Linked DNA regions of Struthio camelus. The protein of the gene in region 1 interacts with the protein of each later gene in a pairwise test. Links are inferred from orthologs where the notes say so. Each region holds a gene or a part of one and is shown in the gene's direction. Other genes may lie near its edges. The genes, in order: MAD1L1, USP15, BAG5 and TEX11.

Region 1 (7,279 bases):
TGGTCGGGGCGCCTTAACCTGGCCGGGCCGCTGCTCTTCTCCTCAGCTCTGCCTTCGGTGTTGGTGGTTCATAAGGGCTGCTGCACATTGGGTGAACGTTGCTATAAGGCTTAAACGCGAAAGCCGGGGTGGAAACAGGGAGCTGTTAGGAAGGGGATCGTCCTTCCCCCTACCTGCTTTGTTCAGGGAATGGCGTATGAGGCCTTGATCCAGAACGAGGCTTTTTTTGTTGTAACTGGAACCGATAACTAAAGATGCTGCGAATGGCCAGGATTCCAGTGCCTGAACTGGAGGCTGCTGGAGAGCGTGGTTATAAACGGGAGCAGACGTAATCGGGGTTAGAAATAGTTCCTGCGGAGAGCTCTGAAATACACTGTGGTGATGTGCTAGTCGGTTAACTCGCCTCTCTTCCCGGGTAGCGGCCGGAGTTTGGTGAGCCTATCCCTGCGGTGCCGATGCTTCCACGCTGCGGTGGCGCTCCTGAAGAGAAAGACTGGAGCAGATCACCAGTGGCTGGAGCGGCATTTGAAGGACCCCTTTGTCAAGGCAACGAAGCAGCAGAATTACCGCTGCCGAAGTGCCTTCAAATTACTGGAGATAGATGACAAGCTTCACATCCTCCGTCCAGGACTTTCTGTGCTTGACTGTGGAGCGGCGCCTGGCGCTTGGAGTCAGGTTGCTGTAGAGAGGGTCAATGCCTTGGGTACTGGTAAGTGCACACGCGCTGGCACCTGAGATGGAGGTAACGCTCGTTTTGAAGTGTGTGGGAAAGCTCAACTGTGCTGATGGCGGAGCGGGGAAGGTACGTGGGTACAGACTGTCGCCACAGCCACTGATAGAAATTTCAAGTAGCAAAGAACTCAAGATTCCTGGCCCCAGGGTGATAGTAAAGAAGCGTAATTCTTCATATGGTCTGGAGAAATCATATCTATGAAATTAAACCCTGGGATGAGGTGCTGCTATAAGACTAGCTAAGTCTTCTGCTTAGCTGAGTTGGAGGAAGTTACTATATAAAAGGCTAATGAAAAGGCTGGGTGAGATCCCCTCTTCATCTGCCTCTGAAATTCATGTGGCCTCCAGCGGGTAACTTACTAAATTTTTGTTTCCTTTCTTGAATAACGGCAGTAACCACTACATACAGCTTATGTGATTTAGGCCACTAATATTTATAAGATAAAGTATTATCGTCTGTATTATTGTCCAGAATTTTTGGACTGCCAGCCTCGAAAAAATCGACAGAAAAAAACCAACAAAAATACCTCTTGCGTATCTGGAATAACTGCCTTTTAATGTTTTGTATGGAGTAGCCTATAGCAAACCGTCTATCCAGATATGTGCAGCAAACTCTTTATGGAAGGACAGGGAGACCGTGTTTGGCTGCTGATACGTTTTTGTGTATTGAATATCATGGAGCTCAGGTATATGCAAGTTGCTTGTAGCCCTTATATCATAAGAGCGATCAGTGTGTCATTCATTCTGACGACAACTCTTTGTTTTCTAGATCCTACTGTCCCTACTGGTTTTGTCCTTGGAATTGACCTTCTGCGTATTTCCCCACTGGACGGAGCAGTCTTCCTGTCAGAGACTGATATTACAGACCCAAGCACGCTTAGGACAATTCACAGTCTGCTTCCTGCAGAGAAGGTGGATGTTATCTTGAGTGATATGGCACCTAATGCAACAGGCATCAAAGAACTGGACCATCAAAAGTTGATCAGCTTATGTTTAGGCCTTCTGAATCTGTCGCAAAGCCTTTTAAAGCCAAAAGGAACTCTGCTCTGTAAATTCTGGGATGGACAGGACTCCCGCCTTCTTCAAGGCAGACTGAAGGAGCAGTTTCAAGACGTGAGAACTGTAAAGCCTCAGGCTAGCCGGAAGGACTCTGCTGAATCTTATTACTTGGCAAGACTGTACAAAGGGAAATGAAAGCTGAGAATTGCAGATTATCGAACTGGTGATCAGACACTGATTGGAAATCTTTACTTGGCAGGTATTTAAAAAAAAAAAAAAAAAGGCAGGCATGAAGACCTCCAACATCAACTGTCACATTGTTGAGAACAACCTGGGAGAATATACTGCAATTCTTAGGAAGTACATCATGCTTTTCAAGTACAAAAGTAAAACCAGGATGGTGCCCTGCTGAGTTTATCCACTAATTATACGAGCAGAGACATCCAATTTAGCTTCTCACCTGTGGAGAAAACTGTTGGGAATGAAGAGGAATAATCTGAAAGGCAACCTCTGGGGCTGGAGTAATGGAAATAAAAATAAAACAGTGATTACAGGTTTTTTTTTTTTTTTTAATGCGTGTGCTTGAAAATCATTGCACTACTACTGCTGTCATATTGGAGACTAACCGTAAAGGCAGTTTCCAAAATGAGAGGGGACAACAAGGGGAGTGTGAGCCAATTTATTTCTTCTCTGTCTTTCTTAAAAGCTGGTACAATTTCTTAGCACGCTTAAAAATAGATAACACTCTTGTGCATGTCAGAGTCTGCGTTGTCACATACAATCTATAATGCAGACGTTCAGAACGTATGACTCCGGCTCTGGGATATTGCAAAGCTTGGTGGCTTTGCTGCATTAGCTAAAGACACGTGTTATATTTAGAAATTGTTACTTCATTGTACTCATAAATCCAGTAAACGACAGAGGCTCATCACAGTTGAGAAAATAATTTTTCCCTATATCTTCAGTAATGCTTCATGTTTCACTAGTGATGTTTGTTAGGTAAAATGGCGAGATGTTCCTTGGATCCCAGATAGGTAAAATTACTGGTTGAATTGTAGAGTTCTATTTGCAAAAATAAACATAGCTACTATCTTATCTGGAAGTGACAGCTTTTACATTAAATAGGTCTTTTATCAAACTCTGTGAGGCATGAGTTACAGGAGGGGCTGGTAGCACTGCCTGTTTTTAAGGCTTCCAGATATTTCTCATTATAGACACCTCATTTTCAATGGCTTAAAATATATCAAATTTTAACTAGTTTGTCTGAAACTTTCAATTCTGGATCTCTCTACTTCAACAGTATGCCTGGAAGTGTTAGCCAAACAGCCTAAACTAGGAAGCTGGATGTTGATTTGCGTATGTTTGGGGGGAACAATTATGGCAGTCTGCTATTTGAAAACTTTGTTACCCTGTGATTTGGTAGCAACTACAACTGAGCAGGATGTTTCTATTAACCATGTGCTGTTTACTTTTGTTGCTCTGACTGCGGTTGCGGGAGGGGAGGATGAATTCTGACTGAACAGGAGTGTTGAAAGCCTGTCCGTGGGACAGGGTGAGAAGAGGGAGGAGAAGGGCGGCCAAAGTGGTGCTGGAAATGAGGCTGGATGCTAGAGAGGCTGTAAGGAGGGAAAGAAAGAGCAAACGGGACAAGGCCTAGAGTTTGGGGGGAGCCTGGAGGTAACAAGGACAACGTGAGGAACGCAGAAGTCTGGCGGAGCTGGCGTTGCAAACGGACAGCCGCAGGGAGGCCGAGCTTGGAAGATGCGGGCGGGAGTCCATCGTGGGAGGGCCAGCTACAACCCCTTCTCCGTGACGGTATTTCCCCTCTGAACTGGGAACGGAGCCCTGCTGCTAGACTGATTGTCTCCCTCTGCGAAACCCACGGGCAAAGCCTGTGTCTTGCTGATGTTTAGTGCCTGGAGCATCTAACCTACATAGCGCGGACTCTGGGGAAAGGATGAAAACAGAGGCCGCATGCCTCAAAGCGGGCCCCCGGGACTGCTGGCTTTTTGCTGTTACCTGCCTTTTCTTTTCCCTGTAAAATGAGGTTGATACTTAAACTTATGATCACAATAGCCCCATGGGATGAGCTTTCGCAGTTTTCTTTTAATCCCCATAGATCTCTATTTTACTGATACTTTAAAAGTGAGCGATGAGAATCTAAGAAACAGCCGGAGCAGCTCAGTTTTCTGGAGGGTTTGCTAAGGGCAGCAGCAGCTGATCAGAGCTAACGCTCCCCTTTATCTTTCCCAGGATTTTGCTTTTTTCACTCCGCAGCACCGGCACGTGCGTGGGCTTGGCGAGAGGCAGGTCCTGGCCTAAGGGCAGAGGGGACGGGGCAGCGTTTTGGGCAGCCGGGGGCAGAGCGAGCGCCGCATGTTATGGGGCAGCGGAGCCGTGCTGGGGCGCGCCGGCCGGACATTACGGTAGGCGGCGCTGCTGCGCGCACGCACTCGCAGCATTACGGCGGCCGCGGGCGCTCTTCTCGCGGGAGCTGGGCGCGAGTTCCCGTGAGATCTCGGCGGCGGGGCGAGGAGGGAGATCCAAGCGGCGGCGCGCGCCGCCGGCTGTGGCGGGTGAGTCCGGCCCGGCCCGGCCCGCGGCTCCCGCCCCGCCGCCCCTCGCGCCGTCCCCGTGTCTCCGTCCCCGTCCCTGTCCCCGTCCCCCCCGGCAGCCCCCGGGGCTCCCCGCCGGGCCGACGCCGGGGCCGGGCAGCGCGGCGCGGCCTGCCGGCCGGCCGGAGCCTGTGGTGAAGGGCGAGTTGGTCTTCCCAGTCCCCTTGTTTTCTCCGGATCCGTTTGTTTCCCGAACGGGCTCGCTGGAGCCCGGTTACCTGTTGGCACTGGTCTCTTTTGGATTTACTGGTGTCTGGTACTGAAGCCCTTACTTCGAATAAACGTTGTCGTTTGGTTTTTCCAGCTGGTCTGTTGTTAGTGTGCTTCTCCTTCCCCCCACCCCCCCACCCCCCTTTTCGTGGTGCTGTAAATTGTTAAGTGCTGCGCTGTGCTGCTCACGCACGAGCCTGGAGGTTGTCCCAGCGCTGTGTCCTGTGCAGATGTTGTGTTTTGGGGTTCCTGGTTCTGGGACTGCGTGAGGTGTAAATCCCTGCAGGCTCCTGAGGTCTCCTGAGAGCAGCTTACAGGCTTCTTTGAGCTCCACGCTTGACTTATCTTTGGCCTTCTAACAACGCTTTGAGGGGAGAATTTCAAGTCTGTGCGTGAACGAGAGCCCAAAATTTCACTTTTGAAAGTGACCTTAGAACCTGGGAAGTCTCGTCATTGAAAGTTAGGTTCCAGAGTGACTTTTGGAAACCAGGATCAGGTTCGTAGCTGTGTACAAGGTAGAGTTTGCTCTATGGGTTTAGGTCTTTTCCTACCCCCGGCCTTACAGTGTGTCGAGGAAGAGTAGCAAGGGTTCGGTTTGTTGGTGTTACGTGCTGTGGACCTCCCCTGGCACAATGTTAACTTGTACCCCAGCTTTATTCTGATCATATAGCAAGGGAGAATTCAGTCTTGCGTAACTTATGACACCTCTTGTTTGTATATTTATGGGCTGAGACTCAGGGGAAAATGTATTTAAATACAAAATGTACAATTTCAGGTGGAGAACTAAGGGGAGAGAGGTTCTCTTGCATCAGTCTCTCATCTTCAGCCTCAGTTGGATAGTGTTTTCTGGTTCACACTGATCCCAGCAGTAATCTGTGAATCTCAGCAGTCACTAACAGTTTGGGTTTTGTATGCTGTAAATAGGAAGATCTTGCCTTCAGTGTTACCCAGGGCAGTGTGTCTCTTGTTAGAAGAGCAGCCAGTAGACACTAGGTTGCTCTGAATGTTTTGCTGATAACTTTCTGTGTATTTGCAGAGCCATGGAGGACTTGGAAAACAATACTACTGTCTTCTCCACCCTGAGGTCTCTCAACAACTTCATTGCACAGCGTGTGGAGGGGGTGTCTGGGCTGGCTACGCCAGGATCATCGCAAAGCTCTTTGCAAATGCAGTACCAGCAGAGGGTGCAGGTGAGGTATCCTCCTCTTGCTGATACCTGCAGCATCACCTCACTATGAATGTAGACTCCTTTTGATTCTGTGTGATTCAAGATCGTTTGCATTAAGACCTGACCGTTCTTTCTAAAATTGCTATTTATGCATGCTCAGTAATGGAGAAGTTTGCTTTGGGTGAACATTCTTTAAGTTTTTTTTAAGTGTTAGCCTTATGTGTATTTCTGTCTTGTGAAAATTTAAGGAAAGTCCTTTGAATTTCTTCCTCACTGATTATATCAGTATACCAGCTCAGAAAATTAAATTGTAAGTTGCTTTCAGTCTGCTGCTTAACAGGTGTATTTCCAGTAAGTTATCTTGTTTACCATTTTTCACCACCCTCTTTAAAATTTCTTTGCCTTGATGCATATAGGAGACTTGCACTAGTGCCATGGCTTCGATATGCCAACGAGTTTTGCTACCTTATCCTCTTCTATTCAAATCCATTGATTGTTGTGACTTTTTCCTGTAAGCTGCCTTTCTGATTTTGTTTTGCTTTGTGTTCATAAGACATCTAGTAGGATGACATCTTGGACTCTATATTAGGGACTCTATATTAGACTCAGAAACATTTCTGCAGTCTATATCTTGATATAAGTTCTATTTAAATTCCTAAGTATACAATAAGGTGGTGGTTGTTTATTTTTTTTTTTTTTAATGTAAATCTCCTTTGCATTGAGGTTGCTGACAAAAATTTGTGTGTTTTCTGTCTGTAGTACTTCTCTGGTTACAGAGCCTTCGCTAGATATATGGTGATCGTATATTGCTTAGAAGTGAGGTGTTCTATTAATATTATAAGTGCTTTAAAATAATTTTGTACGAAGCATTCAGTCATATAGATAAAAAATATATTGTAACAGGTTGTAGAAAAACATGCTATTTTGCTCAACAATTACATTTCATGGGAAAAATGAGCTCTGCTTCTTGGTTAGTTGCTGTTACTTTTATAAAGCTTGGGGGATTTGGAATTAACCCTCTTTTAGGTAGAGAAGTGTGTTTTGTCAGATAGAGGGCCTCTAGAATTTGGATGAGAAATTCTTAGTGAGGAATTTAAAATTCACTTGTTTGTAACTAACATTAATTTGACGTGGGTTTCTGAGCATGTTGTCGAACTCTTAGCCTTAGCTTCCCAATCCGCAGCTTGTTTGGGAAGACGTAAGTGAGGTGATAGTTCCCTTGTAATTTTGTAAAATACTATGCAAGTGTCAGCTGGATAGTATGGGTTGCAGTGCTATTAATGATGTGTAATATCCCTCTTCACATATGAACTGGCCAGTTGGAAGAACAAGCTGGGCAGATCCATTCCAAATCTCAGCTCCTGCAGGTGGAACGAGAGAAGATGCAGATGGAGCTTAGCCACAAAAGAGCTCGCATTGAGCTAGAGAAGGCAGCTAATACTAATGCCAGGAACTATGAGGTAAGTACAACAGCTGCTGATGGTTTGATATCATAGGCCTCAGTCAGAACATATGTAGTACATCTATGTTAGTGTTTTAGTTTGGGTCAGGGGTG
Region 2 (7,521 bases), on another chromosome or scaffold:
TTAATTAATGCGTAATAATTTGAAAACAGATTTTTTATGTCTAGCTAAAAGCATTGGGTTAAGGACATGGAAAGTCATGTTATCTTGGTGAAAATACGTAATTATTGTTTAAACGAACTTCTGATTAAAATCAGATAATAGGAAAGGCCTGTTTTTCAGACATCTTTTTTCAAGTCCAAGTAGAATTGAAATTTCCAATTAAACAGAGGGGTAACCAATAAAAAGATAATAACTACATTCATAAAACTAATTAGAAAATTATTTTAATATTACTGCATGTCATATTCAGCTTATTATTTCTTTAATTGTTTGTATACTCTATTAAGAAGTAATTTGCTGGAAAATTATAAAAACAAATAAAAAGAATACTTCCCACTATTTAAAAATTCTGAACTAGAATAATGGGAAAATACTAGTGTTTCTTCTACTGTCATTATATCAGAAAAACTTCTGGGACACCCTTAGTTGGTCCCACTGGACTTTTCTTTATCTTCATTCCCCTATATTCTCATCTACGAACTTTCCAATTTAATTCTTCTAAGGATGCTATGGTACTAGATTAAGTGCATGAAGATAAGACTGAATACTCCATGTTACATGAATTAAAAAAATAATAGTCACATCTCCATCAGTCTAAACCCTTGTTCTCTCATTTGAAAAAATCCTTTTGGTAATAATAGCTACTGAAAACGTGGTAAGAAAGTAATAGTTTGAGTAAATCAACTAAATAAAGAACTATCAAATTTTAAAATCTGGGGGCATTTTCTTGTCTCAAGGAAAGATAGTGTGCTATTGCAATAACAGCTAGAAATTGCAATTCCACCTAACTCATACAAGGATTTAGCATTGTTGCATTCAGCCTATGTGAATTAGGAAAGCATTAACCAAGCATAGAGTGGATTAGGATAAATACTATTCAAAAACTAGAATGCAGTCTTGGTTTTACTGTCTGGACAGAAATGGGTATCTTAATTACAAATTATTTCCCCACATTCTGTCTTTCAAATTTATCCCACTCTTCTTTATTCCTTAAAAAAAAAAAAAGCATATTCTCATCTGCTTCTTACCATCGGTCCATCCATGCTACCGTGGATTTCCGCAGGTTTCATAAGTACTGATTTTTTGTTCCCATGTCTAAGTTTGCCTTGTAAGTGCCCTGCTGTATCTTCCCATTATATAACTCCAGTCTCTTGTGATTTCTGCTTTCTTGTTTTGTTATTGAACTACTTCAAAGAAGCTTATAATTTTATCATTATTTTAAGGCAACTCCCATACATCCCAAAAAAGTAAGACATGGAACAAAAAGAGCAACGGTGGGAACTGATAATTGATAATCTTTCACTCCCCTTTAAACATGTAAAAACACATTAAGCTAGTAAGATTAGCTTTAAAAGAGTTTCCATCAGATTTGTCACCCAAAAGTGAAATTACCAGTGTTTTCTTGCCTATATGTGTGAATGCTATATGTAAAACATGTATCCATCTGTATTCATGCTGGTATGTCGGGCTTCATGTCTGACTCAGCTTCAAACTGAATAGGAAATTCACAGAGCCACGCTAGCTGTAACCCTACCATAGGGCCGGGGTGTTTGCCAGGCCTTTGGGGAAGGGAACCTGAAACCCTATTTTTCTCCTCCATAAACTCACAACTACGCTGTAGGAGGTTTAGGAAGAAAAGAAAAAAGTGGAGAAGTAAATTGGTCTACAGTACCTCCGAGGTGAGACTTACAGTTGTCGGTCACTTCCACAGAATCTACTGCGTACACAAGCTTTCCCAGTGAGAAGCAGAGATGCTCATATCCCAAAAGAAGAAGCCGTAAGTTTCTTTATCCGAGTCCACTAACTGACTTGAAGACAAGAACGGAGAGCGTAAACTTTGTGCTGTATTGGGAATCAATAGACTCCTCAGCTTACATGGTTTGTTATCTGAAGCCCGTTTGCCGAATGTCTGAGCAGCTACATATTGGATTAATTGTTTCCCTTTTTTTTAGGATCAATGTTTAGAAAAACAATGCAACATGTTTACAAGTATTCATCAGATAGCAATGAAATCAGGTAACAATGCAGGCCCAATGATTACTGGAAAGTCAGCCACGTTTCTCGCCTAGATTAACAGTATCCTGAATTCAATTATATCAAAATTAGTAAGATGTAAATCTATATCACAAAAGCTTGTTTTTCATCAGAGAAGGCAGGAGGCAGTTCATCAGTATCAGTGCTGTTTCAGTGTATCCAGTGGTTTAAAATGCAAAGATCCCCAGGCACTCTCTAGGGTAGATGTACTTGGAAACTCAGAAAGCTTTACTAAAAATACAGATTTAACACTCTCTGGCAGTTTTCAAGAATTTTGCATAGCGGAAAGGTTTCCTGAAGCTTAGGAAGATTATATGCTGTTTTAGTGTGAAAGGCATAGCTACTTCTTGTGAAGCACTGACAATCCCAGAAGGAGACTTAGTTATTCTTGTCTCTCCTTTACAATCCTTAAGCAAAGCTCTGATTCAGATAGCACATTATACTCCTTTCTGTCTAGTTCCTTTAATACCTAGTATCTGTCTAGTATCTGTTTCTGAACCATGAACAAACTGAATTCAGGAACAGGAGATCTTTCACCTAGTAACTGCAATCATGAAACCCAAAAAGTAGAGGCACACGTGGCTCCAAGAGCCAAGTGGCTCTTGGTCTTATTACAGACTACTGAACAATAAAGCTGTTTTCCAGCATAGTGAATCAAGAAATGTTTTCCTCCAATTTTCCAAGAAAATGCAATTTTTGCAAAAATTTAACATTGGTACATACGGATGATTTTCACTGTTTATAATACTGGTTTTAGTTGTCAAGACTGGATGGGGGGCGAGGGGGGGGGAGGGGGCTCACAAATTCTTCCTCCCACGTTGTGAGGTTCTAACCCTGACATTTATTCATTCAATGGCTGGAAACCTTCTTGTCATTGCCCGGTTCACTCTTCCGTCTCATTAAGCATAGCCAGCAGATCCACAGTTCTCCATATAATACAACTCTCCACATAACAGATATCTTTGACTCGCTTGCCCCTCAGCCTGGGATTGCATATTCCATGCTTACAGAAGCTATGAATGTGATCGGCTGGCCCCTCCAAGCTCTTAGGAGCTCTTCTTCTACTTTGGACATGACTTCCATGTGCCCTTTCCAAATACAAATCCTGGCTTTGCCTTTATTTCAACATCATCGTCTTTGCTGATAATGCAGGCAATTTACTTAGTTTGGTACTCTCCTGGCTGCATTTAATAGCCTTAATTCTATTCTCTTTTTTGATGTATCTGTATCTAAAGAATAATCTTCAGTGCTATTTATAACAACTACATGCTATTAGCTCATTAGTGACAATTAGCTAATAGCTAATAATGCCTAATAGCTTATAATATGAGTGGCAGCCTATGATACCTTTCTAGTGTTAGTCATACAATTCAGCACAGTGTAATGATTTGGGTGGAGGAAGGGGCTGGACATACAATTGCATGTTTTATAGATATACCAGATAGATCTACAAAATCAAATTTTGTTTTCCGCTGTTTGCAATCAGCACTTGCCACCCCCCCAGCACAGTCTTCTATACAATTTTGATTTGGTGAAATCTGTATACAAGTAGGAAGGTAGAAAGGGGAGAATTCTGCTAATGTGATGTAACCCATGGACTCACGCAGCTTTTGGTCGGATATCGTATGTCCCGTTGCGCTGCTTGTACAAGCATCAGGTTTTGGCAAGACGGAAACAGACCCAGTAAATTATCCCTTGGTTTCTGTACAGGTTTGGGAATATTCATGCATGTCACACAGCATATTTACACTCCCAACAGTGTTTGCACAATAATAGAGACTGTATCATTGGCGGAATCCAAATCACTCATTTGCTAGCTAGGTGTCCAACATCTCATTATATCTCTGTTTAAATTAAAACGCTAACAGGAAGCGTCACACTAGTTCTTCCTTCCAAAAGTATGGTCTCCACCAAAACCCTCCTTCAGACCCATTTTGAAATATGGTCTCCCAAGGCTGAAACGGGAACGGGAAGGACGCGGACGCCACAACCAGCACGCTGCTGCACCAGCACCACTGCGGCACCAAGCGGACGCCCCGCGCCCGCGCAAGCCCCGCGGGGCAGCGCCGAGGGGCGGGGCCTGCGGGAGAGCCGAGCGGAGGGGGCGGGGCCTGCGGGGAACCGGGCGGAGGGGGCGGGGCCCGCGGGGGAACCGGGCGGAGGGGGCGGGGCCTGCGGGGGAGCCGGGCGGAGGGGGCGGGGCCTGCGGGGGAGCCGGGCGGAGGGGGCGGGGCCCGGGGGTACAGGGCGGAGGGGGTGGGGCCTGCGGGGGAGCCGGGCGGAGGGGGCGGGGCCGGGCGAGCGGGCAGGGCTCAACGCCAGGCAGGGAGCCAGGCTTTCGGTCGGGGTCGTTCCCCTCCCCCCTCCCGTCAGGCTATAGCCGTGCTGAGTCATCGTCCCACGGCCCCGGGCTCCCCTCCCCTCCGCTCCGAGGAGGACCTGCCTGAGAGGACAGAAGCGGCGGGAGCCGGCAGCGGCCCCGTCCCGCCGAGCGCCCTGGCTCCCCACGCCCCCTGCCACCCTGCGGCGGGGGGGGGAGGGAGAGAGACAGAGAGAGAGAGGGGGGGGGGAGGCTGCGCGCATGCGCGCTGCTTGCCGCGCGGTGACATGAGAGACCTCCCGGCCGCTAGGGGGGCAGCAAAGGCCGCGGCAGCAGCGGCTGCGGCGGGTTCGGCTCCCCGCCCTGCGGATTGTGGGAAGGGAGGGGGGGGCGAGGGCGTCTCCCTGGTCGGCGTCACTCCCAGCATGCAGCGCGGCCCGCTCCTGCCCCTGCTGCTGCCGCTGCCGCCGCCGCCGCTGCTGCTGCTGCTGCCGGGGGGAGAAGATGGCGGAGGGAGGCGCGGCGGATCTGGAGACCCAGCGCACGGACATCGCGGCGCTGCTCAAAACCGCCCTCCGCAAGGGCGACACCTGGTGAGGGAAGGGCCGGGGGACCCGAATGGATGGACGCGGGCGGCTCCCTCCGCCCCCGGTGCCGCCGGACTGGCGGAGGGACCGACCTCCTTCCCTCCGCGCTGGCCGCGGCCCGGCCTCCTGCGTGCTCCGTGGGAGGCGGATGACAGGGCGGGGGGAAGGAGGGGGCAGCACCTCCCTCCCGGCCGGGGGCAGGCGCCGAGGTCGGCTCCTTGGCGGCGCCGAGCGGCGGGGGAGGGAAGAGCAGGGAGCGGCGGTGCCGGAGCCGGATGGCGGCCGAGGACAATGAGGGGCCCGGGGGCCGCGGGGCGCCTGCTCGGCCTCGCGGGGAGAAAGGCGGCGGGAGGAGCGCTCCGCTGCCGGGCGGTTCTGCCGTCCGCCAGGCTAAAGGGAGGAAACGGCTCTGGCGTCACCTTCCGAGTTGCCAAGAATCATATCTATAGCGTAGGGGTGTCGCGGTGAAGCCCGTGCTCGGCTGCGGTAGGCCTCAATTGGAAACTTCATTTTCACTGTGGCCGTGTTAACTGCATAAAAGAAGCCTTCCCCGAAGGTGCCGCCAGGCCCCTAGGAACGCGTGTTCTGCAGCAAGCATCTAAAAATATATGTTTTTTTGACCAGTGACAAAATATTTCTTAGTATGCCATGCGGATTGCCAACAGAATAATCCGTGGTTGAAAAGCATTAGGCAGGTTAAACGAGCATCTCTTTCTAGATGTGCTTGGTTAATTGAGCTTCTGTGATTGAGTTCTTTGAGGCTAGGAAGCAATTTTTTTTTTTTTAAGACAACAGAAAAAGGAACTGATGTTTTTTCCACCGCTCAACCTCTTCATCTTTTCCCTTGTGAAATGATCACCTAAATACAAAGGCTAAAACACAAACTTACAGAAAATTAAGTTACAAATACACAAAAGTAGAACTTGCCCACCTCATTTCAGCTGTCATCACTCACTGTTCCAGTTCTATAAAAGACTATATTTAACAGTGTTGATACTGCAGCATGTGTCAGAGCCATACATATATTCTGATGCATTATTCAAGTACTGCCGAGTATACGTTCACTTTTTGGCATAAGAACAGGCTGCTCTTAAACTGAGAAGTATAAGCAACTAGAAAAAGGAAATCAATTCACATGGTGATGTTGAAAATGACCAGTGGTAGTACAAGGCTGCTTGGACTTGAAATGTTTTATTTTAAGAGATTTTTCTTTTATGAGTCTGTTGGGTACTTTCCAAGTACTGAAAGATTTCTCAAATGGTTAATATTATTCAAAATGAAAATAACTTTATGACTGTTTACATAACGACTAAAAACAGTAGGTTTCTTGAGCTACATTTTTAGTACATTAAACATTTTAACATATGTAAAAATCAAATATACTCGTTTGGAAGCTTATTTCCCCAATTAAGTATATTTAGTATATTTGTATTAAGTATATTTAGCTGTGATTGTTGTCTAATATTAATCTCATATTCTAATATTAATTGGATGTTTTAAGGCTGAAAAAGCTATGATAAAGTCTTAATAACTTTGACTCTTCCCCTAGTAAATCTAGAAACAAAAATGTGTGTACATGTTCATTCGTAGGGTAGTACTTAGAGCTATGTATTTAAGATTTCACAAGTTGAAGAATATATTTAGTCCAGATATGTTATTCAGAGATGTTTTGGTAATAGCTTTTTGATTTTGAGGGGATGGGGTCAATAAGGAAATGTAATAGTTAAAGCACTGTAAGTCATGATTCAAAATTGCAGTTTCATTCATTCAGTAGTTAGTATTGCTGAAAAAGAATGTGAACAATGATATATAACAATTCAATGAGCAGCTTGTTTTGATTGGGCCTTAAAGCACTGTATGTAAAATACAATCCTTCTAAGATTAGCAGCTTGTACTGAAAGTTTTGTCTCAGTTATTCAGAATTTAGAGTTTAGAGGAAAGCAATAAGCTATATAAAGAAAGTATCAAGCTTTGGGGTTTTCCATTAGTAAAAGAGAAAACCGAAGAATAGGACAAAGAGAGGCAAATCGTTTATTATCTGTAATGAGGACAATGAACTCTTCATTAGTTCTTCACGTTCGCTGCAGAGAGCAGGAAATGAAGCTAACTTTAAATGCAACATTTTTAAAGTTAGATGTTAGCTAAGAATTGGTAGAATAGTGAAACAGTTGTACAATTGATTAAGCTGCAGAATTTGTTTCATAGGGTGTTTGTAAGAATAGCTTGGGCGTAGTAGAGATGAAAAAGTATTGCCCCAATGGATGGGCAAGGTGAGTGTCCTTTGACTATTTTGTCCTCGGAGACAAGATTTTGGGCTAGTTCATCTGGAGTGGCCTTTACTGCATTTTTAAACTCCTATTGTTATAGACAGTTAATAAATTAAAAGGTTGAAGTAGGAGAGACTGAGGATTCTTCCATCTCACCCTTTTTCTTCTAAACAGGTATGTTAATTAAACATCAAAATTAAGCTTTTCCAGGGCACAACCTTACTAGTACTAGTGAATTCAACATTATAAACCATACTGGCCTTTCACAGAACTT
Region 3 (7,987 bases), on another chromosome or scaffold:
AAATTTTAGAAATTTCAACACTTCCGCAGCCACAGTTTTCAGGCCAGCTGGCAACAATAGAGGAGAACATAGAGACAAAGGCATAAACGGATTTTTTTTTTTTTTTTAAATATGACTCCTCAAAAGTCAAAACGTCTACAATAAACTCCGCTGTTTTCAAGGCTGTGCAGTTACACTTTGTAACTGCAATGATGCAGCTGGCACTACCTGATTTTAAAACAAGGGCAGGCATGTTTAGGAATAGAGCGCTGCCTGATTTTGTCTCACTAAAGTCTCTGGAAAGAGTGACGTAACATCTACCTTTCCATAAAATCAAACATACATAGTGGAAGAACTCAAATGACTATGCCTAAGTTCATGTCAAATGCTAATAGCGTTTTTTCAAATTTTTCTGCAAATTCTAAAATGATAGCTTTAGATGCTATTTTAACAACTATGGCAAAAAATGTTTGATTTTTCTATTTGATGTTATGCCCTTCACTTAGACAGTAATATAATATTCAGCAAGAAAATCATCTACATACCTGTTGTAATGCATATGCTTTCTAAAATTTTTACTTAAGAAGTCCTTGTAGAAGTCAGCCATTTCTTCTGCATTCAGCGTTGCTTTTTGACCTGAAAATAAGTTTTAGCATAACGTTGTCAAGATAGCTCTTGTGATTAAAACACTGGGTGCAGACTCAGGAAAGCTAGTTCGGGTTGCTTGTTCCTACAGGCTTCCTGTGTATCCCTAGACAAGTTAATATGCTTCTATCTCCCTATTTTTTTAAAAATCTATCTAGGGAGCAGAGCAGATTAAAAATGCTGATCCTCTTGAAACTTTGATTTGATGGTACAATTCTTTCTGCTGCCTTTGGTAAATTTCAAGTAACTCATATGAAAGATTATCTGCTCTGGGCTGTCAGATTTATTAACAATAGGGTGGACAAGTCTCTTGTGGAAAAGTAAGTTCAAGACAGGACCTGAAACATATCCCTGAATAAAATATATATATACACACACGCACACACACAAATATAAAAAAAAAATCTGAATATGCCACTCATATAATGCAGAATATAAGAGAAGATGGATTCTCTCCACAGATCATGAAAGGAAAATGTGTGGCTACAGCACAGAAGAAGCATCCAGAGGACCAGATGATATTCTGACCAGATATTTCCTATATAAACTTTCTGGCGCTTTTGATATTTCCAAAACGAGCATCAAATCCCTATCCCCTGGGACATTCAGATATGATGAGGGAGACAGAATCGAGAGATTCAGCTTGTTAGCGTTTCAAAATGAATTTAAAGCTCCTGAGATTTATCATCAGAAGGTAAATTATTGATCACGACTATCTGTCAATATTTACAAATTTAAAATATTACAATGGATTAACATTCCATGAGGTAAACTTATCGTAAGACCATTTGAAAGCTGCCTGCTTAACAGCTACAGTTAATTTGTTTCTTCATTCTGGTATCAGCAGAACTAACCGAGTCTTCGTGTATATACGAGAAATAACCATTGTTCCAACTGCACATACGTATAGGTTATTACCAAGAGAGATACACACACACGTGTCTTGTGATTTCAGTGAAAATTTCCAAACAAGTAGACTGTGGATAGCAACAATTTTGCTCCAGCATCACCCATCAGCAGGGCCATGGCGTAGAACAAAACCAATTACTCAAACATTTGCACTGAATGCAATTTTATTTTTAAGGAATGTACAAATTTACTATCTTCTCTTTTACTTCTAGGATATAAAAACCTAAAAGAACAAATCAGCAATATAAAATAAACTTTTTCTTAATAACATGTAATTTAATTACAATGCTTTCTCCACTACAAAGTGATCACTGGGACACAAATAAAAGTGCAACACAACGGTCTGTGAAATACTGAACATCAGAGCAGGTTTTCTATCAAACCAAAACAGATCTTTACTCTATGAACAAAACGTTCAACCTCATGTTACAACGGCCAACTCGCTGTATTACGAAGGCCTCTTGTTTTCAATTTCATGTAATGAGTTAGAGAGGGAAACATTTTACAGTAACTGTCCTCAGGCAAAGAAGGGCAAAGAGCAGCTGCTGTCTCCTCGGAAGCTCATTCTCCCTCAAGGAAAAATAACATGTTCATTGTACATATTATCGACCCGAGGCTGAACAGTGTGAATCTATCCACTCAACCGTAACATGCGCTTGGGGCAAACAGTATATGTTTGGCTCAGCTAGTTCACTGGGGCGATGAGCTGTGAAAGGAAAAAAAAAAACCTTCCCCCTTAAGGGTACAGAATGATGAAATTACTTTGCTAGGATTTCAGCACATTCCTTCCAGTGGAAGGGTAGGGGGGAAGTTGTGCAGATCTGACCTGCACAGCTTTCAAGAGCTCCCCTCCTTCTCTGTTAGACTCCTGAAAGGAGCATAAACAGGCAAAAATAAAAATTAAACAGATTTCAGAGCACATCCTAAACTACAAAAAAAGATGTCACTGACCTGTTTCATCTCTCATTTTCAGACCCTTGGCTTTCAGTCTTGAATAAATAAATTCTTCTTTTTCCTAAAATATGTTTTTCCACATTAGAACTTAACGTACTCAGTCCTTGAAGTTAACCATTGATTTTAATCACATGCCAGCTTTGCGCTTAATACCCTCCAAAATATACACAGTACTCATTGCACTTGGAGATGTCAAAAAAACATTTTCCTGAATCCAGTGACTTAATTACACTGATAATTGTGTTGCTTCGATGTTAACTGTGTGCATCAATTAATTCATGCAAGTGTCCTGCTGAAACATACGCAACTTATTTGTGGAAGTAAAGTTATAGCTGAGCTTAAGTATTGTTTTGCAGGATCCAAATCTTGCAAAGTTTTACAAAAGACAAATTATGAAGACTTGCTGTGTTACTTATTTTAGAATTTTAGTATACAGGAAAATGTGCAACCTTAGAAAACTGAAATTACTTAGATGGAAAAAGAATAACTATTAGTATTTCAAATTTTCAAATTTAAAAAGCAGTTCTAGCTAATTAAGGGGGGAAAAAAAAAAAAAAAAAAGCATGCTCCACTTACTCCAAGACCTTTGCAAGTCTGGGGACAATACAATGATCGAAGACCATCACAAGTGATGGTGAATTACTGGACTGTTGCTAGTCTTCCAACAGAATTTGGTGTGTCCTTACCCATGGTACAATGTTTAAAAGAAAGACCAAGACTGAAAACGTCCCCCCTTTTCGCCTTGTTAGGGGTACATTGCCAGTGCAAGAGCGCACATCCCTCATTTACCCTCAGTGGTCTTACCTATACTTTTCTCACTTACGGTAGAGCAAAAAAAGCTGCAGAATCATTTTCAAAAGCAGCTCTAGTCAAATATTACAGGTCTTGCATGTAAAGGTGGTTACAACTTTACCTTTTCAGTGCAAAATAGAAAAAAGAAAAAGCAAATATCCTTTTATACACTAAACAGCAGTAAAATACATAAGCTCTTCAGTTTTGTAGGTCATTTTAAACAAACTAACATTGAGAATAAAATTAATGACAAAAAGGAATTTCCCCAAAGACAGTGAACTTATTAAAAGAAGCTGTAGTAGCAATTAAAAGCAAGAGATAAGTAACTGAAGGCAGAATTTAATGCTAGTTTGTGAAGGGAAAAATCATAATTTTGTGAACTTGGCTATTTGGGATAGCCATATAACGCAGGAATCATCGCTCAAGGTCATCCTACTGCGCAGTCATCAAATCCTTTTAACGGAGAACAGGAACGCCTTTGCTTGCAGAGGGCCAGCACCCCAAAGGCTGCGGGGGCTGGGCAGCGGCGCGCGGCGCAGCCCTCCCCTGCCCGCTCACCTGCTGGAAGGACACGTTCTGGCGTGCCCAGAACCGCTGGTTCCAAGCCTGGGTTTCCTCTCTGAGCTCCCTGAGCCGGCGCTCCAGCAGGGATTCATTTTGGGGAACATAGAAGATTACTGGTCGGAGATTTGAGTACTTGTCGGGCGGGCCAATCCAATCGTTACAAGAATGTGCTGGAGGGCAGAAACCCGATCCCTTAAAAATACATACAGAAGGATTATCACCACTTTAGCGCAATTTCTGCGGAAGAGCCTGATGTGAAACAAATCCCGCAACTCCACACGACTGGATATAACCTTAAAACACGCAGCAAGGTCAGAAGTCATGCACATTCATTCATGTTGACTGAAAACTGTCATACGCTCATGACTCACTCACGTTTGGAGATGAATTACAGAAAAGATACCTTTAACTCTTCCGACAGATAGGAATCATGATAAATAACAGTAATTAAGATAAGCCCCAAATCCTGCTCTTTTGCTTGCTTACCTTACCGGCGCTCCCCCGGCAGGAGACCCTGCCCGCGGCCTCAGCTCTGTCCCCGCAGCCGGGAGGAGCCGGGCCCGGCCGGGTCGAGCCGAGTGGGCCGCCGCCCGCGCCCTGTCCCGTCCCGTCCCGCCGGCTGCCCCCGCGGCACCGGGCCCGGCCTCGAGCTGCCCCCCGCACGGCTTTACCCCGCTCTCCGGCCGCTCAGCCGCCGTCCCGCCGCCGCCGCCGCCGCCGGCCGAGGAGAGGCAGCGGCACCCAACGTCCCCCGTCAGGCGCCGCGCGCCCGCCGCCGCCCTAACGGTCGCGGCCATCGCCGCTTTACGGCGCTCAGGGAACCGCCGGCGCTGAGCGCCCCGCGGCCGGGGGCTGGCGGAGCCGAGCGGGGCGGAGCGGGGCGGGGCGGAGCGGAGCGGAGCGTGCGGCCCTCGGCTGCCGCTCGGCCCGTGGCGCAGCGCCGGGACAGCGGGCCGGCGGGCGAGACAGGTGAGGCGGCCGGGCCGGGCCTGCGGGCAGGGAGGCGGCGGCGGCGGCGGAGCGAGCGGGCGGGCGGGCGGGTCTGCTGCGCTGTGCGCCGCGGGCCCGGCGGCGGGTGGGAGACCCCCTTCGGGTGCCGCCGCCGCCGCCGCGGGCCGGGGGCTGGCGCAGCAGCGGCCCATTGTGATCTGCGGGCGCCGCCTGGCCGCCCTCCGCCCCGGCTCGGGGCGCCGCGGCCGGGGGCGGCGCGGCCTGAGGCGGCGGCGCCGGGGGGAGGCCCTGCGGGGCCTGTGCCGGCTGGAGGCGGCGGGCGGCGGCCGGGGGCGCGGCGCGGCGAGAGCGGGTCTGCGGCGCGCTGCCGCCCTGCCCTGTCGCCCAGAGCCGGCCGCGAGGGCAAGGCTGAACTTCTCCGGTAAACGCCCCGAGCTTGTTGTGGCATCCCTCGGCTTCCCCCCGCCGCGGCCGGAGGTGTGAAAGAACAGAGGAACGGCTGCAGAGTACCGGACACGGTTTTGTTTTTGTTTTTAACTCCTCTTGATAGAGGGATTTAAGTAGCTGCCCTGCTGAGGTGTCTCAGGCCGCCACGGAACGAAATGCCCGCATAGCGTTTTATTAATCGTACGTCTTTTCCTGACTTTCTTTGTAGTTCATCTGAAACTGGAAGAAAGAGGAGAATGGATATGGGCAACCAACATCCATCCATAAAACGGTTGCATGAAATACAGAAAGAAGTCAAAGAGATCGAACAACAAGTTGTCATCTTCAGTGGCTTGTCTACTGACAAAGATTATAAGAGACTAGAAAGGACTCTTACTAAACAGCTTTTTGAAATAGATTCCGTAGATACTGAAGGAAAAGGAGATATTCAGCAAGCCAGAAAGCGTGCGGCTCAGGAAACGGAGAGGCTACTCAAGGAACTGGAACAAAATGCAAACCATCCCCACAGACTGGAAATAGAGGCTATATTCAAGGAAGCACAGTTGCTTGTGGAACGTGAGATTACACCTTTTTACAAAGGAGGCAACTGTATAAGTGATGAATTTGAAGAAGGTATTCAGGACGTTATATTGAGGCTTACTCAGGTGAAAACTGGAGGGAAAATTTCTTTACGCAAAGCAAGATATCGCACTCTGACGAAAGTATGCGCTGTTCAGGAGATTATAGAAAGCTGTGTAAAGCAACAGCTGTCCCTACCACTCTCTAATGATGCACATCCTTCTGTCTCCAAAATTAACTCTGTAATGTGTGATGTGAACAAAGCTAGAGGAACTCTTATTGCACTTCTAATGGGAGTTAATAGCAATGATACCTGCAGGCATTTATCCTGCGTGCTCACAGGCTTGATTGCTGATTTGGATGCTTTAGATGTCTGTGGTCGCACAGAAATAAGGAACTACAGAAAGGAAGTAGTCGAAGAGATCAATAAACTGCAGAAATATCTGGACTTGGAGGAGGAAGCAAATTCTACTCATGCTTATGACCTGGCACAAAATCAGTCCATTCTAAAAATAGAAGAAATCCGCAAGAAAATGAAGGAAGTTAATTCTTTACTTTTAAAAACAGAGAATGCTTCTGACTTGTATTTGGGATCCAAGGCAGAACTGCAAGGATTAATTGCCCAATTAGATGAAGTCAGTCCAGGGAAAAACCCCTGTATTAGAGAAGCCAGGAGAAGAGCAGTAATAGAAGTGCAGACTCTGATAACGTATATTGATTTAAAGGAAGCGCTTGAAAAAAGGCAAATGTATCCTGAGCAAACTGCTGCTGAACATCAATCTCATAAAGCAGTTTGGGGCGTTCTTGGAAACTTGTCTCAAATTCAGCAGGAAGTGATTTCATTTGATGGAAACAGAATGGATAAAAATTACATGAGACTGGAAGAGCTTCTTACAAAGCAACTTCTAGCACTCGATGCTGTTGATCCACAAGGTGATGAGCGGGTTAAGGCTGCCAGAAAGCAAGCAGTGAAGCTTGCACAGAACATTCTTTACTATCTGGATATGAAAACAGATGAATGGGAGTACTGAAACAGCCATAGTCTAACAGAAAATACCTTTTTTTTTCCCCTTTGGTGCTTTCTGCAGACTGATAGTTCAATTGGCAGCACGTGATTAAAAGTGATGTGTTGTATGTTTGCTTAAATCATGGCAATTGCATAAGAAGTTGACTTGGCTATATGTCTGCTATCCCACGCGCTCACCCACTTGCCATGGCAACTGTCAGTACACCATCAGCAATTCTGGTCATTGCTGTCAAGCAAAGAAATGTGATCCTCTGAAGGAATGGCTTAATACCTGGTCGAATGGGCTTTTTTCCCTGTTTTTGTTGTGATAATCTTGTGCAATGTTTAGAGAGTGCAGCTTTTTCAAAGGTGCAGAAACTGCCTTATGGTATAGGACTGGCAGAACTACTTCAAGAAGACTGGGCATAAAAATTAGCGCTTAAGCATGAGGATCTATCCAGCAAGTTCATAGCAGTCTGGATATACTCTTAATGTGCTGTTATGATGGAAAGTATTAAATGCAAAAAACTGCTGGCTTTTGAGTCATACTTGATTTATTCCATCCAGCATACCTTTATGGGTGTTTAGATTTCTTACCTAGCAGAACTATAATGCCAACTGCAAATTAGCATTTACATAGGCAAAGCCAATTAGGTCTGTTTTTGTAATATCTGACCCGTTCTGTTTGCAAATGCAGGGTTTTTTCCTTCTGTTGGTGGAAACTTCCCTCAAATTCTTGCTTTGAGGTAAATGAGACTTGGAGAGGAAAATCTGTGCACATACACTGATTAGATAAATGGGATTTGTAGGGTTTCATACTGCTCTCCATAAACCCCTGAAAAATGCACTGAACTTTCTTTAGTGGCTACTTAGGGTCTTTTTAAACTCTGCTGTTAGATTTGCTTTTGACTAGTCTTTTTCACATTTGGTAAAAATAGAAGTCACGCTGAAATGAATGAGCATTTCAGAATTATTTTTGTAAAATTAGGTAGCTATAGAGGTGTCCCTAATGATTTAAATGTGTATTATGTATTTCATATCGGTCAGGTGTGGCTTCAAGCATGACTTGGAAAAGACCTGTGGCATATATCTCTCTTTGCAACTCATCGCTTAATGGTTTTAGTAACTTAGTAAATAAGCTTGCTTATACTGCTCTAGGAGCCTCCCTTATTATTTGTAGCT
Region 4 (8,205 bases), on another chromosome or scaffold:
CTTGAGGAGGCAGCCACATGCTTGCTGCTAAGCCGTACTGAATTCTTCTTAGGTCTCATCGGGTCTCTAGGTTTGTTGGCTGCGCTGCCCGGCTTGGCACTGCCTCCGCTCTGTGAGGACAAAGGGTTTTCTCTTCTAACAGGACCTTTGTGTGCTGATGAAAGGTGCCTGAAAGGCAGCCCTGGAGCCCGAGTCCTGCAGGCCCAGAGCGTGCCACAGCAAGGAGCCTGGCCAGGGTGGGAGGGGTTGCTCCAAGATGCTGTCAGTTGCTGCTGCCTGATCACACTCGGGGCAAGGACACCCCTTCTGACCGATAGAGGGTGGTGTGATGTGGGTACCCCTATGCTGTAGCACGGGCCCAGACCGTGCTTGTAAACTTGTAAGCTTGTAAACTTTCTCATTGATTTTTTGGCTCTTTGGGATTGTATCCTAGAGGAAAGGGACTTTGGCATTTACTGCAGCTGTAGTATTTCAGATGAATCGTTTTAGGTGAATACATGCATCTGAATAAAAGGTAACACAAATCTCTCTTTGCAAAGGCCATGTATGAAAGGGGAATGGTGCATAGCTTGCCAGCCTTGGTTTGGGACTTGCTGAAGGAGATATTCTTTCACTAGACTGAAATGAGTGGGACAGGGAGACCTCTGTGTAAAGCTGAAATCTTAGTATTTTACAGCAACAGACTGATGCCTTCTCCAGTAATAAACTAGTCCAAGCACCCGTTCAGATCAAACAGACTTCCACATGTTCCGTCATGTACATAGGACTGAGACCCCCAACAGGAGGAGCAAGTTGAAGGCTTGCCTTATATATCCCTACTCAAGGGACTTTTGCCAATCCAGCAGCGTAATGGCAGATCTCTCTCCCCGTCTTCCTCACATTTTCTCTTTTCCTTGCTACGTTTGCCTAAGAAATATTCTCTCCGTAATTCATATCCTTCACAAAGCACCTCTCACTGATGCTGCTTTGCCAGGCTGGACAGGGGACTGCATATATTTTTCCCTCTTAAGTCAACTTCCTGCTCCTTCTCGCTGCATCTCAGGGGCATCTCGCTGTATCACAGGTTTGTCAACTTGTGTTGTTTCTTAGATTTGCTGAAGGCTTAACATGCAGGTCCTTCAAAACCTGTGACAGTTGTACAGATGCAGCAACCTGACTTGCATAAACAAGCAGGTAGGAGACATTTCAAAAAATTAAATGCAATCCCCCCACCTCAGCTGTCAATGTCAAGACTCCAGGCTAACTCGAGCATTCAAGTAAGTTAAATTGTATGCCTAGTCTGTACATGAGTAGGCAACAGAACAGACAGCATTATCTTGAATAAGATAACGTGAGAGAAATTGTGACTACAGGTTATTGGCCTGGGAGCAGCTGTTATTATTTGCATAATACAAAACCAATTTACAGTCAGAGTTTAACTTGTGCAATGGAATTGGCTGAACCGAGAAGTGCTCGGGGGCGGATCGGAAAGGGTTTTTGGTTCCTCCATAGTCCCTTGTTCAGACCCTAGGCAGAAGTTAAGAGTGTCAGCTCTGGTCTTTATACCTCTCACATAAGGGGAAGAAAGCTTGCTGAAAACACAGGGAAAGGAGTTCCTGGTTCCTTCACCTCTGAAGTGCACACTGGGCCTTTGTATTGCTTTTCAGATTCTGGAACTAACTGCGGTAACAGGAGAGAGAAAGATTTCCTAGAATCTCCTGGTGTGAAACATAAGAACTTGCCTTATTGAGAGCAGCTGTACACTTTTTATAAGCAACTTCCTTCTGATTTCAGCCAGCAGCTATTGCAAAGCACAACAGGAAAGCTAGGAGGAAAAGCTAGTACCAAGAGAGAGGCCAAGAGAAAGACAGCAAGACTCATTTGTGCTCCCTTTTAGTCTTTCTGTTCATGACTTTAAAATGCTAATGGGGCACGCTCCCCAGCTCCTGTCATACCGCTAATGGTTTTGATGCACAAACTGCAGCAGGTACAGGACTCACTGTTTATTTAAAAAATTAAAAGAAATTTAACAAAATCACGCCGAACAGTGAGGATCTGAAAAGCCAGGCAGCACTGGGGTCATCACAAAAAGAAAGGCTCTGCAGGCCTGACCAAGCCAAGGGTTAGATGTGCAGACAAGCACCTCCAAGTGGACAGTAAGACCTTGTTTCACTTCTCTCATCTAAACAGCAATACTGTTTTTTAAGCAGACTGAGATTGTAAATTAGAGATCTGAAACTCTGGTGCATCTCTACAAGGTGCCCAGATACCTGGAGGGCTTTGATGTGGGTAAACTTCCCAGAAGTTCCATTTGAGAGCGACCATGGCTGCAGCCAGCCTGGAGGAAGCCAACCGCTCAGCTGCAACGTGAAGAGTATGTCCTGGCACAAGGTCAGCGTGACACGCTGCACTTCTTCTTACCCAGAATCCTGCAGAGCTGTCCGTTTTTTCCCTTGTTGTCCTGTATCAGCACAGAACATCCTCTCTAGCCCAGAAGGAAGGGGGGATGAACACATGTATATCCACAGTCTAAGGAGAGTCCCCTTTTGCTGGAACTTGGATTTCACTCCCTACCCCAATCCAAAATGCAAGTACAGGGCTAGCTCTGGAAGGACAGAGCCCTCTATGAGCTAGAGCCCATGAGGCGTTTAATAGATTGCAGGCTGATGGTTTGCCTTCTGCATCTGAATGATCTTGCCAAAGCCGCCTCTTCCCACATCGTAGTCTGTCCGGTACTCATCTCGCACCTGGGGCACAGCAGTAACACGCGTTAGTACCCTGTACTGCCTATCTCCCAGTAGACTTCAGAATCATCATCCCTTCCTTGCTGCACTGGTGGGGAACTGAAATTTGGGTTACAAGTTCTTTGACTTGTTCAAAATCTCTTTAAAGAATCCACCAAAAAATTACTGGTGGTAGTGAAAACAACAAACAAGGATACAACAGATTGCTAAAGGTCTTTTTAAACAAAAAACAAAGAAGATCCAAAAATATTCTAATTCAACTTTGCAGTTAGCTTTCTGAATCAACAGAAACATTTACCCCTCCTCCCCGCCACCCTCCAGGAAATCTGCAAAGGAATCTCACCTTCTCACTGGGGCATGCTGCTGGATTATGAGATTGGCCTAGCAACTACACTGCCCCCCCCCCCCCCCAAATTTCAAATTCTGCATCATTTTAGGAGTACTAGCTCAGGAATAAGGCAAATTCTGTTTGCAGAGCCAGAAAGATTGGAGTCCCAGCCAGAAACTGCCTTAAGCTCTACTTAGAGCTGTAAACGCCAGGGTAGCTCAGTTATCAAAACCACCAGGGAGTGTCTAAAATTCACTATTGGGTCTTCATTATCTGCACTTTATCTTGAATAAGACAAAACTGGCAAAGCAGCACCCAACTTTAAGGAAAACAGGTTCAGGGTCTGAACTAGTGTTCTCTTTACCTGTCCTCCAGTCTTTCCTCTCCCATACTGTCGCCCTTCCTTAAATCCTGCATCCCAGTCAGTTCGAATGATGCGGTCATCTAGTCTGGTGCCATTGATAAATCGCATTGCGTGTTCAGCATCTGCTCTTGTGTAGTATCTGAAACATACTGTAAGGAAAACTAAACGTGCTATTTTGTTGGCTGCAGGGGGGGGGAAGAGAGAACTATTGTATTTGAGAAACAGAGGAATCCTGCCTTCCAGCCTAAAACACTGCTCTTTTTTATGGCATCAAAAGCTACCTTCATATAAATGCAAGCTGAAAACAGCCCCAATTCCTTCCTAAGATGCTACACTTTAATGTGAGTACCTGTACAGACAAGAAGTAGTTTTGGATCACTTATTTCAGAAGTAGATGAAACAAATGTGTTAAAGCTTTGCTACAGGCAAGAACGCTGTAATATGCCTTTTTATAGCATATGAAACTTGACTGAATTTGAATAAGATGAGCAGGCCTCCCAGGAGAGCTTTGCAAAGGCAGCTCACAGTACAACTTGTACAAGCGTGTACCCTGTGCTCGGGAGTAGTGCCATGGATTATTCTACTAGTTCATTCAGGTGTGAAGTTAGGGTGAGAAAATGAACATGTGCTCTTAATTTTCACCACACAACAGGTCTGACTGGTGATTTCTTTTTGGGCCCTAAAATCTGCTAAATGAATGAATGAAAGGTGCTCTCTGCTGCCTCCCAAAAATACAGAAGTGACAGTACTTTTCACTTACGGTCCTGCAGTAAGACCTGCCTCTGAACGAGGGCAGAGGGGAAAAAAAAGCAGAGAGGACACAAGAAATGTGCTTGACAGCCAGAAGGATGGAAGGATCGACAGGGAGAACCTGAGTTTTGCTCCCTCTTTCAAGTTTTGCGCGCTTGCTTCCCAGAGAGGGACTAGGGGTGGCACCCACAAGCCAGCTGGCAGTAGCAGGGAAGCAGGGAGGATACTCTACGAAGCAGAAGCCGCAGGGAGTTTTCTTGATCTTGTCCAGCCCCATGACAATCCTCTTGACGTCCCCGCACTTGGAGAAAAGCTCCTGGATCTGCTCCTCGGTGGTGTAGAAGGACAGGTTGCCCACGTACAGCGTGGAGGAAATTTTGAGGGATTTCTCCTGCAGCTGCCTGCTACCCTGAGGGCAGAGACGAGCACACAGCGGGGTGAGCTATACCACCACAGTCCCGGGGCTCCGGGGGGCACCTCCGCCGGGCCCGGGGACACGGTGCCCGCCCGCCCGCCCGCCCGCCCGCACACCGGCCTGCCCCGGTACCCGGTGCCTCCCTCCACGGCCCCGTCGCCCCTCAGGCCCCAACCCCATCCCGGTGCCTCCCCCGGCCTCAGGCCCCGCTGCCTCCGTCGACGCTCCCCGCTGCCGCCTCAGGCCCCGCCGCCCCTCCCCCCTCTTCAGCGCCTCAGGCCCCGCCGCCGCCGCGCGCGCGCGCTCCGGTGCCGCACCCGGAAGTGCTGGTCGCGGTACTGGCTGATCTCGCAGTAGGAGTCGCTGTTGAGCCCGCTCAGCGTGGTGTGGAGCAGCCCCGACATCTCGCCCGCGCCCGGCCGGGCCCTGCTGCCGGGATCCTTCCAGAACCGGCGCGGAGCCCACCGGACAGCAAGCGGGCGGGCCGCCCACCGCGCTCCGCCTCATTGGCGCCGGCGCTTGCCACTCGGGGTCGGGAGGCGGGGCGGCCGCGCCGGGCAGCCAATCGGTGGGGCGCTGAGCTCCTGGCGGCGGCGGCGGCGGCGGCGCGGTAGTGGTGGTGGGAATGCGCATGCGCGGCGGCGGCGGCGATGGCGATGGCGGCGGCGTGCGGTGTGGCAGGTACCGCCCGCCGCGGGAGGGACCCGGCTCCGCTGCCGGCCGCTGCCCTACACCCGCCTCTCGGCCTTGTCTTGCAGGGCTGGTCCGCGAGCTGCTGAGCGAGGAGGCGCCGTCGCGCATCGCCGCCGCCACCGAGGAGCTCTTCCAGGCGGCGGGCAGCGTCGCGGCCGAGGAGGGCGGCGCGGCCGAGGTAGCGCCGCGCCGTCGCCCTGAGGGAGCGGCCGGGCCGCGCTGAGGCGACGCCGCGCGCCTCGTCCCGCCCGTGGGCGGCGGGGCGGGAAGTTCCCCCCCCCCCCCGAAGTCAGTTGCGCCACCGCCGAGGAGGCCGGGGCCAAGGGTTCAGTCCCGCGTGGGGAGGCGTGTTCGTGATGTCCACGCCGGTGTTTCGGTCTTCCAGTTCATGCCTCGTTATAAACTTGAGTGCAAACCCGCCTTAGGCATCCGTGGGTGCTTAAGGACGTCGCGCTGGCTCAAAACAGAGGTCTGTCCCACCCTGCTTGTGGCTTCCAGTACTGTTAGCAGCTGCCTGGGGAAGGGAGAAAACAAGCATGTAGCTTTACTTGCCTGGTAAACCCAATACATAAGCTCTGAGGTTATTCTATTTTCGTGTATTTGAACAGTGATCCAATTCGCTTGCATAATGCTTTTGGTTTTAGATTTTTTTTCCTCCTCTAGTCAGGCCTTGTGCTGGACTGCTTATGAATAAAGTAGTAAAATTCTACTTGAAGAGAAAGTTCTGCTTTGACAGAAACTGTGTGCAAAAGAATTCTGATGAGAAGTGTATGAATCTGGAACAAAAACAAGAATAGCTGAGATTTTGTCCAACTTGTTCCTCCAAAATTATATGCTGAGGGGAAATTTCATAGTGACTATCCCATAAGGCAGACAATAGTTCTGAAAGTCCTAAATCTGTGACGAGGAGCAAGGTGGGCTGGCAAGCGTCACAACCGGGAATATTTTCCGTGCTCTCTGTAAAGAAATACGTTTGCATAAAACCAGTAGCCTTCAGTTCTTCCTGTTGGGCTAAATGATTTTTAAAGAAAGGAGAAATCGTTATCTTGTAGTTTGTTCTCTTCAGTAAAAGGAGCCATAAAATTTTGCTATTTGATTCTTGTATGAAGCCCAAAGTTCTTAGTTAAGCAAGAGCATATTTTCAGAAAGACATTTGATTCGGATTTTATGATCCGAAGTGGTTGAAAATACTGGCTTAGGGTTGTTCAAGCAGCTTACTGCCTTCGTGTACGACTCTGTCATCTTTTTAACATCAATGCCTAGCCAGTAGCCTTTGTTCTTTGCTAGTATCAGAATTTTCCCTGTATAGGTATTTACAATAACTAAAGTACTTAATTTCCTTTTTAGGAGGCAAAAGAAGTACTATAAATGTTTGCAAACCTGATACAATTCTTAGAGCTCCTTTCTGAACCCTTCTAATTTTTCAATATCTGTTTAAAGTGTACATACTGTATTCTGAAAGCTGCCAGTGAATCAGCTGTGTCTTGGACAGTGATGTGCTATTGCACAATTTTTGCATGTATTTTTGTGAGAAAACGTCATTCCAGATGGATAGGCTAAGGTAGGTCATATTTTGATAAGTTTGGAAAAGGATTTGACAGAAACATATATTAGGACCCTGGAACAACATGACAGATGAATGGAATTTGTTTAGGAACATATTTTAATGAAACCAAACAAAGGACTGGGAATGTGTCTGAAGTCCACCACTTCACTTACAGAATTCGTTGTGCGCAATTTCAAATTAGAGCTGAAGTCACTGATGGATGACGTGACATGCGTGTGGGTACTGCTATCTGCCTTATGATTAATTAGTTCTTTTTAGTTTCAGGTCATGTCTGCCTTTGGTTTACAGTCATTTTCTTTCTTACCTTGCTTCATCTTAGAAATACTCTCAAATGTTTAGAAGCTGTGAAATAGTCTTTTCTAAGACTAAAGTCTAAAGACTAAGTGTATCTTATGAAAGACGCTTATGAAAAGAATACGTGAGTCCTGCCAAATGCTTGTAAGTTTTCTGAAATGGCTGATCCATTGAAAAGAAGCTACTTTTAGCTCAAGAAAGCCCATGTGACCTATTCAGCATGCCTGTTTTCAGGTTACTGTCCCAGATCTCTCTGTGGAGACAGTCAGATCAGGTAATAGTTTCACAGTAATCTCACATGTGTGAGCCTACTGTAAAAGGAAGTTACACAGACGTGCGCACAGGTCATTAACATGACATACATGAAAGATGATTCTTTTTCCAGTAGTACATTTCAGCGTGATCCAAATTGAGGCAAAGATTAAATCTAATGGAATTCTCCCTCTCAGGTCGAAGAGAGTGCAATAAACCTGTGGAATTGGGCTGTGACCAAACACACGGGTTCTGTCATCAATGATGAGCAAAGAGCTAAATGTATGTATGTGTTCTGTATCTCCCTAAACGTTTTTGTGTGCTGTAACGTGGAAGGGAAAAACTCTGCTGACAGATACATATATAACGCTGTGGATTTGTTTGGATCTTTGTAGATAAGATGTAGACAGAGAAAATTGTACAGATGGGCTATAGAAACGGTTCAGGAAGGATCATCCTGGTGTAATAATGATCTTGTGGCACAGAATCAGTGTAGGAATTCTTATCACTCCCCGTTCCTGTGCCAGAGCATCCGTAAAAGCGTGATGTGACCAAAGGAAGCTGTAATTTGCCTTCTAATGCTGTTTTTAATCTGAAATTTTATGGAAATGATATTGGTGTAAATTTTAGACTGTAAGTCACTAAATTGATGTCAAGTAAGAAAGGTACTTTAAATAAACGCTCTCATCAATGACTACATGCAGAAAAGCTTTAAATTATTCTTTTTGCTAGCTTGCTTTAGCCCAGCACACAGCTAATGGCTTTGCCTCGAACCAGGAGCAAGCTTGGGGGAAAGTGGAAGGGAGCTTTTGATCTTTT

The links.
Region 2: the proteins of MAD1L1 (region 1) and USP15 interact in binary tests that used the Homo sapiens proteins (3 or more experiments, as listed by UniProt). The two-hybrid records come from large-scale screens. The link is inferred for Struthio camelus from reciprocal best matches to the Homo sapiens genes MAD1L1 and USP15.
Region 3: the proteins of MAD1L1 (region 1) and BAG5 interact in binary tests that used the Homo sapiens proteins (3 or more experiments, as listed by UniProt). The two-hybrid records come from large-scale screens. The link is inferred for Struthio camelus from reciprocal best matches to the Homo sapiens genes MAD1L1 and BAG5.
Region 4: the proteins of MAD1L1 (region 1) and TEX11 interact in a two-hybrid assay, tested with the Homo sapiens proteins (2 studies listed by BioGRID and IntAct). The two-hybrid records come from large-scale screens. The link is inferred for Struthio camelus from reciprocal best matches to the Homo sapiens genes MAD1L1 and TEX11.

What each region holds. Positions count from the first base shown.
Region 1 is NC_090956.1:6,271,704-6,278,982, forward strand, and holds the start of MAD1L1 (mitotic spindle assembly checkpoint protein MAD1), read left to right. Parts: upstream 1-4,209; 5' UTR 4,210-4,307; intron 4,308-4,474; exon of another isoform or gene 4,475-4,602; intron 4,603-5,592; 5' UTR 5,593-5,596; coding exon 5,597-5,746; intron 5,747-7,043; coding exon 7,044-7,184; intron 7,185-7,279. Other genes in the region: MRM2 (rRNA methyltransferase 2, mitochondrial), read left to right, coding at 420-709, 1,502-1,926. UniProt on the Homo sapiens protein: Component of the spindle-assembly checkpoint that prevents the onset of anaphase until all chromosomes are properly aligned at the metaphase plate.
Region 2 is NC_090942.1:37,751,789-37,759,309, forward strand, and holds the start of USP15 (ubiquitin carboxyl-terminal hydrolase 15), read left to right. Parts: upstream 1-4,498; 5' UTR 4,499-4,897; coding exon 4,898-4,986; intron 4,987-7,521. UniProt on the Homo sapiens protein: Hydrolase that removes conjugated ubiquitin from target proteins and regulates various pathways such as the TGF-beta receptor signaling, NF-kappa-B and RNF41/NRDP1-PRKN pathways.
Region 3 is NC_090946.1:72,465,925-72,473,911, reverse strand, and holds the start of BAG5 (BAG family molecular chaperone regulator 5), read left to right. Parts: upstream 1-4,719; 5' UTR 4,720-4,812; intron 4,813-5,449; 5' UTR 5,450-5,477; coding exon 5,478-6,830; 3' UTR 6,831-7,987. Other genes in the region: COA8 (cytochrome c oxidase assembly factor 8), read right to left, coding at 525-615, 2,485-2,548, 3,838-4,035, 4,515-4,640. UniProt on the Homo sapiens protein: Co-chaperone for HSP/HSP70 proteins. It functions as a nucleotide-exchange factor promoting the release of ADP from HSP70, thereby activating HSP70-mediated protein refolding.
Region 4 is NC_090952.1:25,538,693-25,546,897, reverse strand, and holds the start of TEX11 (testis-expressed protein 11), read left to right. Parts: upstream 1-5,148; 5' UTR 5,149-5,205; coding exon of another isoform or gene 5,206-5,230; coding exon 5,231-5,261; coding exon of another isoform or gene 5,262-5,338; coding exon 5,339-5,451; intron 5,452-7,583; coding exon 7,584-7,668; intron 7,669-8,205. Other genes in the region: nuclear cap-binding protein subunit 2, read right to left, coding at 2,628-2,726, 3,416-3,554, 4,393-4,574, 4,898-4,984. UniProt on the Homo sapiens protein: Regulator of crossing-over during meiosis. Involved in initiation and/or maintenance of chromosome synapsis and formation of crossovers.